4 linked regions of the Drosophila melanogaster genome follow. The protein of the gene in region 2 interacts with the protein of the main gene of each other region in a biochemical or structural test. Each region holds a gene or a part of one and is shown on either strand. Other genes may lie near its edges.

Evidence for each region.
Region 1: of the proteins of lwr (region 2) and dl, one has a biochemical effect on the other in vitro, tested with the Drosophila melanogaster proteins (one study listed by BioGRID).
Region 3: of the proteins of lwr (region 2) and Aos1, one has a biochemical effect on the other in vitro, tested with the Drosophila melanogaster proteins (one study listed by BioGRID).
Region 4: of the proteins of lwr (region 2) and Sumo, one has a biochemical effect on the other in vitro, tested with the Drosophila melanogaster proteins (2 studies listed by BioGRID).

The regions. Positions count from the first base shown.
Region 1 is NT_033779.5:17,446,965-17,453,036, reverse strand, and holds the start of dl (dorsal), read left to right. Parts: upstream 1-2,672; 5' UTR 2,673-3,161; intron 3,162-3,668; 5' UTR 3,669-3,741; intron 3,742-4,526; exon of another isoform or gene 4,527-4,759; intron 4,760-6,072. UniProt on the Drosophila melanogaster protein: Embryonic developmental transcription factor. The lateral or ventral identity of a cell depends upon the concentration of this protein in its nucleus during the blastoderm stage.
Region 2 is NT_033779.5:538,655-544,354, forward strand, and holds lwr (lesswright), read right to left. Parts: upstream 3,927-5,700; 5' UTR 3,776-3,926; intron 3,726-3,775; exon of another isoform or gene 3,697-3,725; 5' UTR 3,594-3,696; coding exon 3,114-3,593; 3' UTR 3,055-3,113; exon of another isoform or gene 2,583-3,054; intron 2,515-2,582; 3' UTR 1,945-2,514; downstream 1-1,944. Other genes in the region: ush (u-shaped), read left to right, coding at 1-595, 656-798, 864-1,302; Spp (signal peptide peptidase), read right to left, coding at 4,587-4,695, 4,762-5,612, 5,679-5,700.
Region 3 is NT_033777.3:12,430,938-12,436,112, forward strand, and holds Aos1 (activator of SUMO 1), read right to left. Parts: upstream 2,886-5,175; 5' UTR 2,795-2,885; coding exon 2,688-2,794; intron 2,621-2,687; coding exon 2,192-2,620; intron 2,136-2,191; coding exon 1,658-2,135; 3' UTR 1,596-1,657; downstream 1-1,595. Other genes in the region: CG5245 (uncharacterized protein), read left to right, coding at 1-238; Prosalpha2 (proteasome alpha2 subunit), read left to right, coding at 504-544, 647-723, 809-1,064, 1,130-1,285, 1,350-1,524; Srlp (Spliceosome-ribosome linker protein), read left to right, coding at 3,306-3,408, 3,480-4,265, 4,325-4,572.
Region 4 is NT_033779.5:6,965,738-6,970,470, forward strand, and holds Sumo (small ubiquitin like modifier), read right to left. Parts: upstream 1,908-4,733; 5' UTR 1,771-1,907; intron 1,649-1,770; 5' UTR 1,564-1,648; coding exon 1,291-1,563; 3' UTR 1,043-1,290; downstream 1-1,042. Other genes in the region: snRNP-U1-70K (small ribonucleoprotein particle U1 subunit 70K), read right to left, coding at 4,379-4,733.

The sequences.
Region 1 (6,072 bases), about 17 Mb from region 2:
TTAAATCTTTAGCTTTCCTTGCTTTTTTCGCAACAAATACGTGGAATCGGCCAAGGACATCAGGGGTTAACTGGCGATTTGCACGCACACTCGAATGGTTCTCAAGGATTTTCAGGTTGCCCTACTGTGTCGAAAGCAATACTGTCCTTGAAATACCCTTTCACTTATAAAATACCCTTATTCCTATTTAATTATTAAACTTAATTACTTGAAATTCTCTTATTCTCGTAAAATAAAATGTAAATAGCTTTTAATGGAGTATATGCACAGATTTCCTGGAACTGTGTCTTTATCAATCAATTTTTAATGAGGAAAAATATATTGTTTTATTAGCTTGTTATGTGTTTGTTTTTTTAATTATATAGATCTTGCACACACATCTATGTATGTACATACATATGTACATATAGACTTGTTGTGTACAATCATTTTTAAAGAATTATTTTTTACGTTGTTTTGTAAATCGCTGATGGCTCTTTTAAAATCGTCGATTTGCTTATGCAACTCATTGACTGAAATACCAGACGAACTGGCTGCCACAACTTGAGCAAGGACCTTGGGGCAGGGGCGTGGTTAGCTGTACACTGAAAGAAATTTTAGTGACTTAGCATGTAGCTATGGGGGTAAGTAGCAACTTCGCTCTTACCTTCACATTGAATGGGACACCGACAACATTGTTGGGTTAGTTGCCCCACCGCTGTCAAGGACACGTGCCACAGGAAGTTCAAAGAGTTTAAGGCGAAAGTCCGACAACCGGAAAAAATCAATAATGTCGTATACACGGGGTGCAAATGTACATATGTGTATGTACATGAAAATGACTGCCCCAGCACGTGTCAGCTTATAAGGGGGCAGGATCCATTAAAAATTACCTCGCGGGACTGGACGAATATCGCGTGATTTTCGTGGAAAACCCGCTGCAATTGGTTGCCGGCCTTGTGGGAGTGGGAGCTTCTCCATTCACCATTGTTTGATCGATGTCTGGACTCCATTAACCGGGTTGTTGTTCTACGTTCGTGCCATCAAGACATTGCGAGTTGACTTAGTCCCGCAATTCCCCCACTCCAATTCCACGGGCGGCGATGGCAATTGATGTGGAATTTCAATACTAACATTTGACATAATTCCTATTTATTTGCGCTTAGCTCACGTGCACTTATGTATGTATGTATGTTTACCAGGTGGCATGACCTTCGTGCCAGTGTGGTTTTGATAACGATTTACGATAATGGCGGAAAGTCCTTTTTTATGCATATGTACGTAGTATTGGGAAGAACTTAAGCATGTGGATTTTGTGTCACCGACCATCCAACTTTAATTAATATTATTTTTATTCTTATTTACTTATAAATTTTTCACAGTAATAAAATAGGAACATTTAGTACTTATTTGTAATTTTGTCATGAAATTATAAAAATACTACCTGGTTCTTTCGCATGTATTTCAAACTGATAATATTTCGTTTTCCAAATAATGTGACAATTATATTTTCTATTCATCGTTCATATTTAATAATTTGGTTTAATTAGCTGAAAAACCCAAAACATAAAAATCCTTATCTAACGTGCGACCACTTTTTAAGCGATGTATTCAATTATCAACTGTACTGACCCCCATTTCCCCAGAAGGTGAATCAGCAATATTATCAAATTCCGCGTAACAAGCCGTCTTGAATGTCAGAGGTCCTCCGCCCGGAAAGTGAAAGCTGCTCCGGAATGCTGAGCACGAAGCAAGTGAGTCACGGCATTGAGACTCTGCCGCAGTGGAAATTAATGCCACAACAAATGCCGGCGCAGGATATTATCCTTTTTCCAGGAATCGTACGCTGATTCAGACCCCCCAACCGCATGGGTGGGAGTGGGGTCTTAAATGGATAGCTCGCAGCCACACACACAGATAGTTAGTGCTCACCGTGCTGTTTCATTCATAAAAGCTGAAAAAGCTTTTCGGAGGCAGTCGCTCGTGGAGATGAGTCACATGTGAAAGACACTGAGATAAATGACGGAAGTTATTTTTTCCATTTATATTTTACTTTTCGTAAATATGCATATATAGTTGGAATATTCGGCTATTTAAACGAATCTCACATTGAAAATCGAATTCTTGATGATTGGTTACCATACAGTTGAATTCTCAATATTTAAGAAAAACAAAATATTTATATTTTCCGATTCCTTTGGGATGCTCCTAATAAAAAGATATGCATTTTCAATTAATTAGGTATTCCTTCAATATAATACGTGTTATAGATTTAAAAGGTGACACATTTTAAAAGCTTTTGAAAGAAACAACTGGCCTGCATTCCTACTAATCGGTATCAGTCAGATAAAAACATTTATATTATATGTATGTATATATTGTTTCGCCTTTATGCAATCATCGCGTATTCCTCGAAACTCGGATTTGTGGAAGATGTGGACATCTGTAAGCTATAAGTCGCAAGTGGAAAACTTCAATCGTACGTGACTCAGCACATGCTGATCTCGCACTCTTCGCCAAGCTAGGCTCTTCGGATTGTCTCTCTTCTGAGCTTAAGTCGAGACTGCAAAGAGCAGAGCTTGGGGCCGACTACTTAACTCCGTTGAAAGCTTCGCGATCTGCAAGTTTTGCGGTATTTTTCAGTGGCGCATACGGTATTGAAAGTTTGGCTCGCCTGTTTCTTCTTGGTGGGCAGTTAGTGTTCAAATCGCGGGCGTCGAGATCGGTTGGTAGTGCGTGTGTTACGGGTATTTTATCTCCACCTCCAAATTGTGCCTTATTTACCTTTTTCGCTGTGCTTTAAGCTTCCGCTCTCTTTCGCTCTTCTGGAGCTCGAAGGCAGGTTGAAATACCAGTAGATAAAAATAAAACGAAAAGTAAAAGAGCTGCATAAAAACGCATAAATTCAATTGAGCTCTAAGCAAGTTTCACTTGCTTTTTCGTATTACGAGTGACAAAAAAAAGAGACCCACCAATATAACGGAGGAAAAAACAAAAATAAAAAACTCGGCGCACGTATTGATAATTTCTATTAAAACTGAACGTTTACCGATTAGATTACACGGCACATCGACACTTTAACCACAAACATCGCAAGAATAACCAAAGAAAATGGAGGGCAGAGCGCGATAACAAATTACCCTAAATTATAAATCGAATAAATCGAAAAACAAAAACAAAAGGTAGTCGTACGTCGATGATCGCATAAGCATAAAGCCCGGAATTCCCTAGAAAAAATCGACGTCACGCGCTCTCTCGCGCTCTTTGCCCACTCTCTCTTTCTTCGGACTTCGATTTCTTAACTTTTCATTAGTTTCTGTTCGAACTGTTCTCCCCCATCCGTTGTTTTTGTCGTTATTATCGATATTATCGCACCCGCTTTGTGCGCGCGCAAAAGTTAAAAAAGAATAAAATAAGAAGAATCAGAAAGAGAGAGAGAGAGAGAGTGAGTGAGAAAGGGAGGGAAGAATAAATTATTTATATATAAAAAATAATAAATAAACCGGTTCCTGCCGTGCGTGCTTGTGTATGTGTTAACATTAACATGAAAAAAGCGCCATATTTCTCAACTATAAATAAATGGCTTATTTAGCTCGCTGTGCAACGGACTAATTTTCCAATTAACACAATAAGAAACTTAACAAATAATGTACATAAAAGTGTACTAATTGGTTCGCGTTGAATTTCAGGTGTCCGATTTACTTAGCAAACCCAGTGATATCAATGCATATAAGCGAGATTTCAGATCACTCCTTGACTTAGGTGAGTCCCCCTATAGAGCCTAGCTTAATTTATTGATTCTGAACATTGATTGCACGGATTAATAAAGTGCGGTGGAAAATCCTAATGGCTGCGTTTTGCGAGAAGGGTCTTGATATTTTAATAAATATGTACACAACTATTGCTTCCAAAGACGCAAAATGTCATTACAAAGAAACGCATCTTGCATTAAACATATTAAAAATATAACCTTATTGAGTCATTGGACGCCTTATCGTTTCGGAACAATGTTTACAGCAACAACATCGTGATTTATCAACCATTATTCACACTTTTAAGGTTTGATAAACCAAGACTGGTCACTTTTCTCGCATATTAATATTTTTCATCCTAAATAGTTTTAACATTTTGACAATGTTTAAAATTCCTGGATGCTAAGATTTGTAATAGCTCACAATTTCTGCATGACAAATAATAGTTAAGATGTTAAAAAAAAACTATTAGAACGTATTCAATCCTTTGTAGTGTAACCGCAGTTGTTGTTGTTGTGTTTTTTGGGTGGCAATTATCCACCTGCGTATTAAATAATCTACGGTGAATGCAAACGATAAACTTAAATAATACAACCGAAACACCTGTGTACATGGCAGCGCAGTCGCAGTGGCTTTTCGACGTCGCCATAAATGAAAGTTTCTTACGGGCACGTGGGTGGGCGAGGGGGGCCGTGGGGCCCAGAGGGGGTGGGGCTCGTGGAAAAGCTTTTGCCCCTTGTATTTATTTATTTTTTGCTGCCACTCAAATACGCCGGAGAGGTTTTCAATTGTTTCATTCTAAGATCGACTCGATGCGCCTGCGGTCGTGTTTGCGCTAACATTCTTTTATTTTTATTAAATATTTTTAAAATTCCCTAACGGTTCGATATTATTTTTAAGTAATAATTTGAAAAGTACCATTTTGAAAGAACAAACTGCGGTTAGTGTGCGTTTTGTGGCCCAAATAAAAGCAAAAAGTGAAACCGAATTCGTCATGAGTGTTCACTGGTTCTTGGTTTGATTCGCAGGTAATTATGAAGAATGAAGAAATGCTTTTAGCTGCTAATACGGTGTAAACTCGAAAAGTGCAACCAAGTTAAATGCAAACCGTGTGCTGACTCATAACATCAGACTCTCGTCTCCGGGACCAAAGAAAATCAAAGCGCTAAAATCGCTCAACTCGTTTCCAGCAAGTCATCGGCGATTTACAAAGCTCGAGTAGAGATTTGTGTGCTAACAGAGATCTAAGGCCAAGTCAATAGATAATATTGGTTATATCTACTGGTAGTTTCCCCGTATGCTAAATCCGAGTCATGATTGATACACGATCTGGCTGTGGGTAAGGCCCTCCGCTATGCAAATCATCAATCAATAGGGATTCTATTTTAGGCGAATATCATTTAAACCACTCGATAAGAAAGATCGTGGCCGTTATAATTGGAGATACGGATAAGATATGTATCTGCATTTTTGCCGGAAGTCACATGTGCACAATAATCCCTGATCGGCTAATTTAACAAACATTGTTTGGTGTGGAAAATAAGGATAATGGACTTGTATTCATACGATACAAAACATAGCTTTTGGCAACTAGTTCCATCGATTTGTCAGCATATCGGTTATTTATTTTTATTTGAGCTGTAAATTGCTTGACGCCAACGATCGTTAAAAAACATTTGTCTGTCTGGAGTTCTTGTTTTTTTTTTTTTTGCGGAACCCGTTTCACTGAGGAATTTTTGGCTGCTTCTGATGCTTTGATGTTGATCTTAATCTTAATTTGTGGTGCTGGCGCCAAAAGAACTTTTTTCTGTGTGTCTTTGCTATTGGAAATTGCATAAAATTAGCATGTTAAATGATCGAAACGAAATGTTCATTTTATTTTGTTTACTTACCTTTTTTTTTTATTTTTCGCCAAAAGTAGTTATCGTTGAACGAGTAGAACGTTATTTTATTAATTCATTTTATGGCTTAACAGCATAGACTTTTTTCTTTTGAATTTATCGTGTGGATTTTTGCAAGACATGGTGAAAATTAATAGCTAATCAAATAAATTATTTATTGTTTTGAGCAAACGAAGGGCAAAACCATAGGAAATTCCAATATAACTCCCCTGCAAAACACTTAAACCAAAAACCATCTATCGATACATTCTCAGGCCATCGTCATTTAGATTTATTTTTATATTCTTATCTTACTTTTGGTTATCTTTGAGTTTTTTTTTCGGATTTTCTACGCTCAACACCTGAGCGTTATCAGTCTGAATGCCGCAGGTTCTATCTGACGGGAATAAACGGTGGCAAATTTGTGTGGTTGCAAATGGTTCTAATCTCAATATAGCTGC
Region 2 (5,700 bases):
CGCCTGCGGAATTAAGTACACTTCCCTGGACAACCTGCGAGCCCATCAGAACTACTATTGCCCCAAGGGAGGAGCAGTTGCTGCCCCTGCCGCGACGCCCACGGATCCTGGCCAACTGGGCATGCCAAAGGAGAAGTGCGGAAAGTGCAAGACATTGCATGAAATTGGTCTGCCTTGTCCACCACCCGTTGCGAATCCTCTCGCAGCGCCGACAGTCAATCCGCAACCCGCCACCAATAGTCTGAACAAGTGTCCTGTTTGCGGGGTAGTGAGTCCCACAGCAGCACTGGCCAAGAAACACATGGAGATGCACGGAACAGTAAAGGCATACCGCTGCAGCATCTGCCAGTACAAGGGGAACACTCTTCGCGGCATGCGCACCCACATTCGAACCCATTTCGACAAGAAGACTAGCGACGTAAACGAGGAGCTATACATGACCTGCATCTTTGAAGAGGATGCTAGCGCGCTGAGTCAGGAACTGGTTACTCCAACAGGGGCATCTACCACAACTGGACACGATTCCATGGATCATCCCTCGCAGATGTTCAACTGTGATTACTGCAACTATGTCTCCACCTACAAGGGCAATGTGGTGCGTACTCCTTTTTATTGCTGCCAGACCAAAGAACTCACTATAGCTTTTTCCTTACAGCTGCGCCACATGAAGCTGATGCATCCCCATGTGGCCATCAACTCTCCCTCCATTTCCCCCGACACCAGAGATCAAGATGTGACTTCCAACCCCACTACCAACCAACACTCGAATTCCGATGTATCCAACGGTGAAGCACCCAGGTAAGGATGACAGGAAATTATCTACATTCTTATTACTATATCTTCTCTAACTTCCTCGTCCACAGTTTCCACATTAAATCGGAGCCTCTGGATCCACCACCGACTGTGAATCTGGTGCACGAGAACAACAACTCCCCGATCGCCACGCCACATATTAAGGCTGAGCCAATCGAAGTCGGAGCGGATGCTGCGCCCGGCGGGCTGGTTCCGCCGATGACTTCTCCGCTGGGAAACAGCAGCAGCGTGGCTGCCGCAGCAGCTGCCGCCGCCGAGGTGATGAAGAAGTACTGCTCAACCTGTGACATATCCTTCAATTACGTGAAGACCTACCTGGCTCACAAGCAGTTCTACTGCAAAAACAAGCCCATTCGCCCCGAGGCCAGCGACAGCCCCAGTCCGAATCACCTGGGCGGAGGCGTTGCCGTGGGCCTGGGCATTGGCGGCCTGGTCGGCGGACACGGCCAGCAGAAGAACAAGGAAAACCTGCAGGAGGCGGCCATTTGAGAAAGCCAGCTGCGGTGGGAGGCGCAGCGCAAGCAGCTTGAGTGGTATTACACGTGCTTCTAAGCAGCAGCCCAACCCAATCGAAACTAATCGAATCCTAGCCTCCTTTAAAAATGTACACTATCCAAACCGCAACCAACCATCGACGACAGTATTCCCGGAAAATCTCCCGTCGCTGCCCTCCACTTCCAACTCCATTTGGGGACTGACTCCTTCGACTTACCGATCGATAGAAGTAGATATATACATCGTACTCCCGTACATATACAGTACACCTAAAGGAATAACACATAGATACTTAGGTACATTAATTTAGGCGCATACCCATTAAGTGGGAACCATGACATATAATGCATGCCAAAGCTTACCACTTAGACAGAAATTAAATTGAGGGCGAGAAACTACAAGTTTGCAATGGTCTGCGGAGTAGAAGGAGGCGAAGTATTCCAATGTAGATCCAATACTATAATGTAAATTACTCGCTGTTCCCCATAAAGCGAGCAATTCTAACTGTGTAATTTAAATGAGTACATTATTTATTAAGTGTGTGCGACAATAAAAGTAATTAATTTATTCAATATAAAATATAGTGAAATTAGTAACTAAACGACATTTTACATTTTTGAATTCAACGAACGATTTGAGTGCTGCCAGATTAGCGAAAAATGTTATGACGACATAGTTGCCAGATTGATTAAAATATTGTCAAACATCGGACATATTACCGGATCAATAGAAAAATATTGTGGCATCCCTAATAAAAGAACCGTTAGATTAGACCAGGCATCAGATAGATCAGCTGATCGTTGGTAGCCTACTAGAAGTTCTGTTCGCCTGGTACTCAGAATAGAGCATGCCCACCAAAACCAAGACTTTGGGAATCCTGGCGGTTGTTTTAAAAACACCTTTCCACGCTTATGCTTCCCTGGTAATTCAGTTCGAAATATATGAGCATCCTCGGGAAAAATAATAAATTCAGCTGTCAGTATGCCGGATTCCCCAGACTGAAGTACCAGGCGAACACAAATCTCAGTAGGTGTTTTAACTGGGCATTTTTCAATATGGCGGCCTCGTTGGAAATGAACCGTTAGCTGGAAGCATTGCTATATCAGCAGCGAATGCTACCAGATCAGCCAAAAATTATGCATAGTAATGTTGGCGGACTTGCCAGATCAGCTGAAATAGTTGGGAAATGTGACCAGCTTCAAATGCCTAAAAATCAAATAAAATATAAAGGTAAAAATGGACTGAACAAGTTTTTAAATAAAATGCTTAAATTTAAAAATAGTCATGTTACTTAAATAATAAGCAAAAGGAAGAACTTTATATGGAATAATTCAAGCACTAAATCCAGCTGTACGGCTACTGACGACCAACAAGTGCTCGACTGCACATTTGCTGGGAAATCCTTTCCGCTTTAAAATGCATAAGCTTTTACAACTAATAAATTTTTATTGAAATTACATAGGTTTGTACGTAGTACTCGCGATACAAAATAGCCCGTAGAATAATCGGCACCTGCACCCAGAATGGAAGCTGAAAAGAGCGTCGAATTCTGGGTGCCACGTGGCCACTTTGGGCCTCATCGAAAAATTACAGGACTTATTTGTATTTATTCAGATGGTACATGCTGGTAATTAAGCAAGTGCAGAACATTAAAAAATTAGATGCTTCGGGCCGCGGGGGCTATCCAAAATTAGTCGATTCTTTAAAAGTAAGTAGACGTGGAGAGCATTCCAAACAAACGCTTACCGGCTAGATGTGTGTATTTGTTAATGTCTATGTGGTAAAGGTGGTTGGCAGGAGCCCGACTACTCAGTGGCCGCCATGGCGCGGGCCTGGGCACGCACGCGCTTCTCGTACTCCAGTCGGTTCTGGCAGTAGATGGTGTAGGCCTCCGCCTGGGCTGGGTCCTTGATGTTCGGCTCGTTGAGCAGGTCCTGGATGCCCAGCAGGATTTGCTTGATGGTGATGGCGGGGCGCCAGTCCTTCTCCTCGTCCAGCAGCGACAGGCAAACAGTGCCCGAGGGATAGACGTTCGGGTGGAACAGCGGCGGTTCGAACTTGCACTTGGGCGGCGAGGTGGGGTAGTCGTCCTTGAAGATCATGCGCAGCTTGTAGAGCCCGCCCTCCCAGGGGGTGGACTTCTTGCCGGGAATGGCGCACTCCCAGATCATCAGGTTGAGGGTGCCGTCAGGGTTCTTGGCGGGTCGTGCGACGAACCCGAATGGGTGATCCTTGCGCCAGGCCTTGCGCTCCTCCCCCAATCGTGTAATAGCAATGCCGGACATGGTCGTCGCTGCTTGCTCGCTTCTCTACTGCCGCCCGAACGTGTCCTCGAGTCCTGGATTTCCGCTAGCAGTCCCACTTGGCCTTTTTTGCACGCGCGTCTGTCTGCGAATGTGTGTGTGTGGGTAAGTGGCCTACGAGGGGCTTTGTCGCCTTTTGGCGCGCTAAGTGCAAGAGCACCTACCTCTCTGTTCGTCCTTGCGTCTCCAGTGGTTCCAAGCAAATTAATTATTTGCAATCGCGGGGGGAACTCGCGCTTTTCGCAATTTTTACCGCAATTTTTCAGGAATGAACGCTTGTGCTCGCTAAAGGTATAAGTTTTTCTACACAAAGGGTCTCACTATGCGGTTATCGATATTTAGTGTGGCCGTGGATAAACAGTGGTATTAAAATACTGACTTTTTCAAAGCACTTTTGTATTATGTTTTAAATTTAAAAATTCTTTGGATTTTGGTAAGCTCAACTTAAAATGTATTAGGTTTTTCTCTTAAGCCGTTACATTCCTAAAAACCCTCTACTCAATACAAAACTAGTTTAATTAAACGTTAGAATTAAAATTTATTCGCATTACTGTTTACACAAATTACTGCATTAGTTTTAAGAAATGCAATGTAGAATTCGTAGTCAAAATTGCACTGTTTACAAAAATTGGAATATATTTGTATCTAAACTGTTCTTAAACATATAAGCCTCCTGTGCGGAGCCACAGAAATATTTGAAATACATATTTAAATTGATTGCGGTAAAAAAGTCGAGGGAACATTTTCTACAATTGTAACCTAACCGAACTAAATAAGATTGTTGTGCCTGGCCAAGGAACGTACATAACTAACTCAGTAAGTGAATCGTCTTTTGTAGCGGTGTTAGTCCATATGAGCTATGGACTGCGGTAGATGGAGAAGCCATATCGAAACGAAAGGGAGCTTGGCTAGCTGCAGAAGACATTTACGATGGAACGAGTGGGGATGTTGTTCGGATGTTGCGTCCTCCCGGCTCTACTTGCCCTTTTTCGACTCCTTCTTTTTGCTGCCGGACGAGCTGACGCCCTCGTCCTTCTCCTTCTTCTCCTTCTTTTCGGGCTTCTCCTCGGGATGATCTTCATAGCTGCAGTGGGGGCGAGAATGAGTTAGTTTAGTTTCAAGTCGAGCGCCCAGCGCAGTCCACACTTACGCAAAGAGCACCTTCAGCTCGCCGCGGATGAGGGCCACCAGGAGGGGCGTGCCCATGCAGGCTGGCACCAGGTAGAGCAGAGCCGGCTGCGCATGCTTGAACACATGCATCACGAAGATGGTGGCCAGCAGGCCAAGGAAGTAGGCAATCAGCGTGGAGTAGAAGTAGATGCGCGTCTTGCGCTTCTTGCTGTCGTCGAAGCGCAGCAGCAGAGCGATGAAGATGCCCGGAATAACGATGTCGCCTAGTCCCAGCATTGCGAAGTTCGAGGCGTTCAGGCCGTTCTCGATCAGGTCCTGGGGGAACACTAGCTTGATGGGCGCCTCGAAGCTCTTGGCCACGGTGACCATCACGTTGGTGCCGAATACCCAGAAGATGTCGTAGAAGAACAGGCCGCTCAGCAAGATGACGCCCGTGACGAAGTTGTTCAGGTGCAGCATCTCCACGCCGTTGATGGCGAAGGCCAGACCGAACAGATTGTTGGCGATCCAGTGCTTCTTGAGCAGGTACCACACTCCGATCGCCGAGGAGATCACCAGGCAGACAATGTCGTGCGTGGAGAACTTGTAGTTAACGATGTCTTCCTTGTGCTTGCCCTCCCCCTTAGTGAACAGGATGTGGAAGGGCACCTTCGGCACGGCGGCGGGCATCAGCGAGTTGATCACCGGACTGAGCAGGTGCGCCAGAGCAATAACTCCCAGCACGAAGAAGTAGCCGGTGAGCAGGTAGTTGATGTGCACCTTCTGGAAGATCTTGAAGAACAGGTACAGCCCGAAGAGGGCTGCCGACGCGATCAGCGGGAAGTACATGGCGTCTTTCTTGGTCATCGTGTCCGCCTTCTCGCCCGTTGACTGCAGGGAGTGGGAATTACGGGAAACATGTTAATGCAGCTTCCGGGCTGAGTCTGCTTCACATACCTTCTTCAGCTTGTGCAGCTTC
Region 3 (5,175 bases), on a different chromosome or scaffold from region 2:
GTCCTATACAACTAGCTCGACTCTTCACATGCATTTGCGAACGCACACGGGAGAATTGCCCTTCAAGTGTTCGCACTGCTCAAAATTGTTTGCGAGAAGCGCAGAACACCAGGAACACTTGCGAACGCATACGGGGGAAAAACCCTACAAGTGTTCACACTGCTCAACCCGATACACACAAAAGTCCAGTCTTGGGCGACACCTGCGGCGAACCCTATGCGGCACTAAATCGGATTAAAACCAATTAGTTTAGAATTAACTTAGAAATAATGTAATAAGAAGTAAAGTAGGCGAAAATAAATAAATGAGTTTAAATATTTTTTTAAGTTTAGAAATCGGTAGTGTGCCCATTTGTTTAGTCCCCCTGATCGACCTGTACCATATTTGGCATTCAGCATTCGGTCACACTGCCGCCCAATTGCTGTGTCATTTTTGTTTCTGTGCGAAATAAGTCGGCTTTTTCATTTTACACATCAAATCACTGCATTTGCGGCCCAGGAAATATGGCTACCGAACGATACAGCTTTTCGTTGACCACGTTCAGGTGAGAGCATCGCTATAGCCGGAGCGGAGCATTCGCTTCGCCCCGCGCAACACAAACTGCCGCCATGACTGGGCAATAAGTACAATTTTCTACCGTTTGCAGTCCTTCCGGAAAACTCGTCCAACTGGAGTATGCATTGGCGGCCGTATCTGGCGGAGCTCCCTCCGTGGGCATTATAGGTTAGCATGCCGCACAGCCAGTCAGCCTGTCAGCCAGTACTGTGCATTCAACTAACACACTATTATTTATTTTTCTTGGCTGTAGCTTCCAACGGCGTCGTCATTGCCACAGAGAACAAACACAAGTCACCGCTGTATGAGCAGCACAGTGTACATCGCGTGGAGATGATCTACAACCACATCGGCATGGTGTACTCGGGAATGGGTCCGGACTACCGCCTGCTGGTCAAGCAGGCCCGCAAGATCGCCCAGACGTACTACCTGACCTACAAGGAGCCGATTCCAGTGTCACAGCTGGTGCAGCGCGTGGCCACGCTCATGCAGGAGTACACTCAGTCCGGGTAAGTGTGCGCGCTTTTCTCGACTTTGGGTTCCCATAGATAATCGTATGCAATCCCACCAACAGTGGCGTTCGTCCCTTTGGCGTTTCCCTACTGATCTGCGGCTGGGACAATGATCGTCCGTATCTCTACCAATCCGATCCTTCGGGCGCCTACTTCGCCTGGAAGGCCACTGCCATGGGCAAGAACGCAGTGAACGGCAAAACTTTCCTGGAGAAGCGGTAAGTACCAATAATAGTACACCAATTAAAGTCGCAAGTCACTCATATTTTCATCAACCTGCAGCTACAGCGAAGATCTGGAGCTGGACGACGCTGTTCACACCGCCATCCTTACGCTGAAAGAAGGTTTTGAGGGAAAAATGACTGCCGACAACATTGAGATCGGAATCTGCGATCAGAACGGATTCCAGCGTCTGGACCCCGCCTCAATCAAGGACTACTTGGCCAGCATCCCCTAAACTTAAACGCCCCGCTAAGATTACCACAAGCTAAGCTTTCTTAATAAGTACGGGACATTAAAAAACCAATAAAATTTTACAACTGGTGTTATTTGATATTCAGATTTTTATAAATAAGCCCTTTGTGGTAAATTCACTTCGCTCCGATGGCCTCAACGTATCCGGCACAAGTCTCTGGGTCAAAAACGAACAGATTACGGTGTGGCGCCTCCAATTTAGTAACCACCTTGATGACCTCTTGTGCCACAACGCCGCCGACAACAGCGACCGCTGGCGAGATCTGTGCAAAAATCAGACCTAGAGCTTCGTCGCCCAGTATAGAGTTGGGCAGCAGTTCGTCGCGAATTCCGCGAAGCAATTCCAGGTCAGCTTCTCGGGTCTTGTAGCTGGGATCCCGCTTGTGGGTTGTGCGGAACTTTTGCAGGACACTTAATAGCAAAACACCCGGGCCATTGCGCTTCAATTTTCGCAAATAACTAGGCTCGGTAACATCGAAATCAAGCCAGGCAGAGTAGCCGGGATAATCCACATCACGCTGCGTTGGAATGGACACGGTTTCATACTTCTTTTTCTTCTCCGAATTGGCTACGACCTTGTGCTTAATAACATCCCTGGAAAAAAGGTGGACATTAAGTTAGCAATGGGCAATGGTAGGTAGGGAACCTACTCGACGTAGCTGTGCTTCTGCAGACTGGCAAAGTAGAACCCGAAGGTGCCCCACACATCGGTGGCTATGAACTTGACGCCCAGGTCCCGGCAAATGGTGTCAATGCGCAACAGTTCCTCGTTGGTCGCGCCATTGACCACCACAACGTCGAACTGACCGAAGAACTCAGAGGTCTTCTCCTTCAAGGGCTCGCGGTCGGCGGAGATGTCCACCATGGGATTGAGAGCACGTGCCCGTGTCAATGATGCTTCGGCCCGGTTGGTGTTCAGCGATTCACGGGGGACAAGGAATTGTGAACAAAAGTCCTCCTCGGTTACGTCCTTGTCATCCAGCAGCTTCACGGAGTTCACTCCGGACAGGATGATGTTCTTGGTTATCTCGGCGCCCAGGCCGCACAGTCCAGCGATGAGAATCTTGGCCGTGCGAAGGCTTAAATCGAAAATATATTTTAGCGCATTATAGCGCCATTGCGGAATGCCGGTTTTTTTGCACTCACCGTTTCTGAGATTCCAGACCCCAGAGTCGGATTTGTCTGTCGTACAGCTCGTTCTCCGCCTCAGTGAGCTCCACGGCTGTCTCGCTGGTGTCCATATCCACGACCATTATTTATTTATCAAGTTTAAAATGTATTTTTCACAACTTAATACAAATTTCTTGCAACAACTTTCAGTGAGACGCCGCAACAAGAAACTAACGCCTTTTGAAAATGCCAAAACGCCTTTTGCAGAATCAGTGCTGCCAACTGTTTTTGTACGTACAGAATAAAACTAAATAAAGCACTTAAAATCTAGCACTTATAATTATAATATTTATAATTTTCTATACTGTACTATACTATACTATATACTATTCTATAGTTTTTATAACATCCTAACAACAAATTGAGGTGAATTTATTTTGTAACTTACCGCCAAGCAAACCAAGCTTTAAAATAGCCAAGTTTAGCGGGAAAAAGCTAACACAATAGGATTGCCACAAAACGGTGGCAGCTCTGTAAGACAATTACTATCGAATTGTTTTTACGAAATCTGACCAATATTTAATTTTCCGGTAAGTCTTTAAGCTTGTTGCTCTCCATTGTGAAGAATAATTGATTGCCATTTTGGCTTAGATCATGCTTCGCAAATTTGGAGGTCTGTTGGCCCAGCAGGTGGGTCAGCAAGCACGTTTCACCGCCGCGAGTCGCACATTTTCCTCGACAAAAGCGCTGCACAAAGGTATGTAAGTCGGCGAAAAAGCCGGTGACATAATTTGGACTTATACTGTTGTAACCGTTCAATCGCTACAGATCCAGCGACCCAGGAAGCAGAGGCGGCGCCACCGAAGAACATCCTTGTGGAAAAGGATAAGAACATCACGCTGATCGGCATCAATCGACCGCAGCAGCGTAATGCCATCGATTCGCTTACTGCATCGCAGCTTTGCGACGCCTTCGCCAATTTCGAGGCGGACGACACGTCGCCGGTGGCCGTGCTGTACGGCGTGGGCGGCTCCTTTTGCTCCGGCTTCGACATCCTGGAGATTAGCACCGACGAGAAGGAGGAGATCAGCGTGGACATCCTGATGCGACCGGAGGGCTCCGTGGGTCCCACGCGTCGCCAGATCAAGAAGCCGGTCGTGTGCGGCATCAATGGCTACTGCATAGCCAACGGTCTGGAGCTGGCTCTCATGTGCGATCTGCGCGTGATGGAGGAGTCCGCAGTACTGGGATTTTTCAATCGACGCTTTGGAGTGCCAATGCTCGATGCCGGCACCATCCGGCTGCCGGCTATGATTGGATTGTCGCGTGCCCTGGACCTGATACTTACGGGACGTCCGGTGGGCTCCCAGGAGGCCCACGACATTGGACTGGTCAACAGGATTGTGCCCACAGGCACGGCCTTGGGCAATGCCCTGGAGCTGGCCACCTGTCTGGCCAAGTTCCCGCAACGCGCGCTCATCCACGATCGCAACTCGGTCTACTCGAGCACGTTCGAGACCTCAACGTTCCACCAGGCGGTGCAGAATGAGGTGATGTTCACGTCCCGTGAAATCATCGAGGACATGCAGAACGGCATCAAATGGTTCAACCAGAGTGAGTTTCTCCAGCGCCAGTGGCTGTACATTTTCTCAATCCCTTATATTCCCATGCAGCCTTCAAGCCGGACACCACGCATTCGTGGCTAAAGCGCGACCGCTCGATGGCCGACTGGGACGATGAGGAAGTGGCTGAGGCTGCAGCGCAGAAGGAAAAACTAAAACAGGAGCAGGAGGCTGCTCTGGCTGAGGCCGAAAAGCAAAAGCAGGCTGAAAAGGCGCAGAAAAGGTCGAAGAAGACCGAGGAAAGTGCGGCTGAAAGTGTCGATAGTAAAGATCCCAAGGATAAGCCAAACGAAAAGTAGTTGTGCCATATCCAAACAAAATTATCTGTTCCAAATCATTTAATTTAATTTTGTACATAACGCACCTATTACCAGTTTCAAACTGATCCATTCGACCTTTCTAACTTATTCAAATACATTTCCGTAAACGGATCAAATGTAAATGACTTTAATCTTATATTACATTGAAAATATGTAATGGAGTGGCTTACTTATTATTTTCTGAATTTGTTCTATATATTAATTATTCATAATCCCTCAAGATTTATGACTTTCAACTGCCGCTTAAAGTTATTTCACTAAAATGTACATAAAAAATGCATAAATTTCGGTTAAACAAATTTCTTTGTTCATCCCTTTACATACTAGTGTATGTGCAAGTATAACGACATCGTTATTCGTTCTTGGACCGATCCTAAGCGATTCCGACTCGGAACCACTTCGATATAAAGAATGTCTTATGAGTTTACAGGGACTTAGGTTAATCTAAAGCAAATATGATAATTTGATATAACATTGTTGCTACCAGAAATATTTCAATTTTACAATTTTCATTAGCATTTTTATTCAAGAGCTCGCCAGCTATCTACGACTGAAAAGGTTCTTCAGGTTCGGCCTATTTTA
Region 4 (4,733 bases), 6.4 Mb from region 2:
TATTTAAAACTTAATGTGTACATATTGTAATTGTTGTTGCAAATAAACATGACAAAATGTTATTGTTTCCTAACTATTTATCCATATTTGAAAAACTAGTTTATTCCATTCAACATACAGTATACATTGGCAAATAATACTATAAATTGGACTCAACAAGTAAAATTAAATACATAATGTTAATGAATTTTAATTTTATTACGAGTTATGAAATTCATCTATGAAATGCAACAAAGTATGAACAAACTCAATAGACTTCGACTTTGACTCATTACTTTGCTTCTCAATACATAATTAAAGGGCCTGGAAAATAAATGTTTTACAATATAAAGTATATATGTATGGTGCTGAGTCATGGTGAGACAGCAAAAAATCTATAAGAAAAATTTCGGAAATTTTTACCCAATACCAATATTAAAAATGAACACATATACATATACATATACAGCCGGTCTAATATAACAGGACCTGTCGACATGACTTCATGTATGCATACGTACATATCTACTTTTTAATTTTTCATCATAGTTTTTTTTTACACAACTGTACCTTTGAAAATTTAAGCACATACGCACATACATCATGAATGGTATGTATGTATACATGGTATACATACACAATCATCATGTATGGCTTGGCTTTCACAAACACACAAGCGTATTACTAGATCCCAATTTTGAGGTTATAGTTACCTCTATGTAATTTCCAGAAGGTTCTCAAAACTGACGTCATTTTTTTTTCTTGTTCAAATTTGAGGTTATGTTTTCCCAGACTTCGCAAATTCGCAGGCGTATATGTATGCTTGTACTTTTCCCGCAAATTCAGTGTTCTCCGATGTGTATGTATATCAATTTGCACGCACACACGCGCACTGGACCCAGTCCTGCTCGCACACAGACGTGCCATGCCAATGACAGTGTGTGTGCGTGCTGTTTAGAAAGAGGGTCACAAAGCGGGAAATTCGCACCGGCTTTTCGTTGCAGAAGGGCAAAAACAAACGCCGATCAGGCGCAGGAATAAATAGCGAAAGACGGCAAATTTTGTGTAGTTTATAAAATGCTTTATTTACCATTTTCTTGTCTGCAAATGTTTTTGTTATTTACGCACACAGACGCATTTAGAATCTACAGTTGTACTAAAAGCATATTCAATCGATTCTTAGGGCCTGGTTTGTTGGATTCTTCATGTTGTTGTTGTTGTGTTTTTGCTTTTGTGGTTTTTCTTGTATTTTTTTCTTTTTCGTTTTAAGTGTGTAGTTGTAAGAGGAGTAACTAACTTAACTAAGTAATCTTATGGAGCGCCACCAGTCTGCTGCTGGTAAACCTCGATGGTGTCGCCCTCCTCCATCTCCAGCGAGGTCGGAGTGTCGTTCTCGTTGATGGGCTGTCCGTCGAAACGGAAGCGCACCACCTGCATGGAGAGTCCGGCACGGTCGCAGTAGGCGTTCATCAGCTTCCTCAAGGGTGTGTGCTTCTTGATCTTGAACTGGACGACGGCGTTGTCCTGGCCGAGGACCTTCAGGTTGATGTGCTCGGTCTCACCTCCCTTCTTTTCGTCAGACATGTTGATTTTTTGGTTGCTTGTTGAAGCTGCTAAGTGGTCAAAAAAGTTTTTTTTTTCTTTTGCGGAGCGTCGAATGCCGGGCGTGCTGTACGAAAAAAAACGAGGCAAAATGTCCAATTAAGTACGCGGAAATTGGTAAACCACACGTAAAAACTAAGCACAATACCGCGGGGCAGCAACTAATCGCGTAGAAATGCAAAAATTTACCTGATTTCCTCAAATTCAGTGCTTGCTGATGGAAGTTGAAATTTATCACAAGCGGCTTCCTTTTGCTTCTGCTACAGCTACACGCCAAAAAAACTGGTGCTGGACCTACCTCGTTAACTTTTGCGATACTATCGGTGTGTATCGATACACGATAGGTAGTCGATAGATTCGCCAGCAACCATCCATTATTGTCACTGTTTCGGTTTTCGGTCACGTTTTTCCTAACAAGTAATTTTGATATATGCCGAAAAGAAAAAATATTCAAACAATTGGACTAAAAAATGTAATGCTAAGCACGCAATCGATTTAAATAGCATTTAAAGCATATTAGAGAGTCAATATATATGTTTAATATAAATATGAATGTTAATATTTAAATAGAAGCATAAGTATTGGGATGGTTCGTAAAGATGAATATTACGGAAAATTAAAAAAAAAGTGATATGAGAATTGCAATTCAAGCAATATCTATACCCATAATTAATTCACATTACTTGTTAGCCAATGTGAGCAGGGCCACATCAAATTATTTAACTATCGGCGAACATAATTGAATTTTTCGAGTTGCTTGTAGGCCAGTGTACGCAGGGCAGCATACAAATATTTAACTATCGGGTACTCAATGGCAAAGGGAATCGAATTAAAGAAAGGCAGAATAATAAGTTACTGGGTAGTTTTTTGTAGCATTCGACAAGATTACGGCTAAAGTTTATATTCGCATGCAAAATACAGTTAGAATATTCCAGTTTCTTTATGTTGCTGAGATAGCAGTCAATTATATCGATATGTCGCCTATTGATATACGCAGTATGCCATTTTAGAAGCAAAGGTAGCGATCAGCTGATACCCATTACTCGTAATATAACTGGGTACATAGGTACTTATCGGGTTGGAATGAAAAATGCTTGCTATTGATATTCAATGTTTCATCCTTGAAATTAGTCCCTTTTACTTTAACATTTTCTATCATATCCGCTTATAATAATTTGCGACATATGTGAATGTTTTCCAATAGAGGTCGCATTTAATGTCCATAGATTTCACAATGCTTTATTTGCAACAAATGTATACATTTTTAAAGAGATTCCAAGGACGCCACTGCAAATCTTCTTATCCAGGACATATAGACCAGTTTAACAAGCGAAAATTGTAAAAAATTCAAGTCATCTTGATAAATACTTAGAAATGAAACAAGTACTTTTTCGTGTAAGGAGGAATTCTTTTCTTTATTTGATCAAATCTAAATGTGACATTGATCTCTGTCCGCTTTTCTTAATAATGGTGTAATAGGAAAAATGCCCTGCTACACAATAGTTTGTTTCCCGTATGTCGCACGGTACGAAAAGGCAATTGCATGGATCCTGTCTGCCAAACAATACAATACAAAAATAAAAGACCCCCAGAATTTTGTCACCGTCCGCAATCCAAAGTGGAGGCTAACCAGCTCGAAAGACCCCTGACCTGACCAACCACAACCAATCGTTACCAGTTACCAAAAGCAAACCTTTGCGCAGTTTTCTGTTTGTTCTATGCGAGTTTCCGCCGCGGATTCGTCTTCAGTACGATAACAATCAGCTCAACGTACATGAAAAGATCGAAATGGTAAATTGGTTACAGACATAATGGATGAATGGAGTAGATTGCCACAGGCCATCGGAGCAGTTCGCAATGTGTACCAAACAGAGGAAAGCTCCCTTACACTAACTCACTCATCCATCCGATCCACGGCGGTTAGGCGAGGATATCGTAATCTTACCGGGGCAAACTTACGGAAAAGGTTTTGGTTTACAAAATTTCTTAGCCCGGAATCAACTTACACGCCACACCACCACACAACACAGGCAACCTAGAGCGGAGGAGATTGGAAAAGTATTGCGGTAGCTGTCTTGATTCTAGAGCTGTCCTAGAACGGTAGACGCATGGATTAGTGAGGTTTGTGCGTAGACCAAATTACCTGATGTGGGCTTGGAATTTAGACTTGGGCATGGGCTACGAATACTGGCGGAACTAATTTTCGTTTTTGGATTACTGTTTGTTTGATTAAATACTTATGCTTTTGCTTTCACACTAGTCAGAGTCAGATTTTCAATTGATTGAAAACTGCAAAAAAACAGAGAAAATAAAAGGCACGAGTTAGTGCAAGGGTTTGTATTGTTCAGCTTATTATGTTAGGTGAGTTAGAAAATCCCAGGAACCACCATGGGATGGAGTAACCATATAGTACGGTGTATGCGCCACCGAAAGCGTTCCAGCTCCTGACTCTCCGTATTCCCTTTAACCCCCTTACCAAAGGTGGGGAAACAAACACATGAGGGCTAGCTTTATTTTACTTACTGTTTTCATATTCATTTGTTAAGAGTTACTTATAAATTTAAGTGATTTAAGCTACGCACACATTAGCGGATTCTGCGTTTAGCGGTCGGGTTTTCTATAATCTTGTTCTACTTGGCCCTCCTCCAAGTGGTACCTTAAAATTTTCTGTGTAAAATGGATAGCTACGGTTAGGCTCTCCAGGATTGGGGTGCCTCGGAGTCGAATGAATAAATAGTTGCGACTCACAGACGTCTGACTTCTAGAAATATTAACCTTGACACATCGCTCCATGACTCTACTGACGCCACCAACTCGGGTCGCCGGAGCTCTGCTGGCCATTGTCGGGATTGGGATTCGTGCTGGCATTTCCACGCCCCAAAATGGGCGGCGGCGGCACACTGAACATATTGTGATGCGCAGGCGGCGGCCGGTACTTCTCCTCATCCTCATCGTCGATCTCACGCTTGATGGTCGCGTTCTGGTAGTCAAATGTGGGATAGCCATCGTCGACGGGCTCCTCCTTGATCTTGATGACATCCATATCACGGAAATCGGGCTTGCGCTCCTTGACATCGCCGCCGGATCCGGTGCCGCGTTCTCGATCCCTTCTCTCTCGCTTCCGTTCGCGACGCTCCCTGGAGGATTCGCGT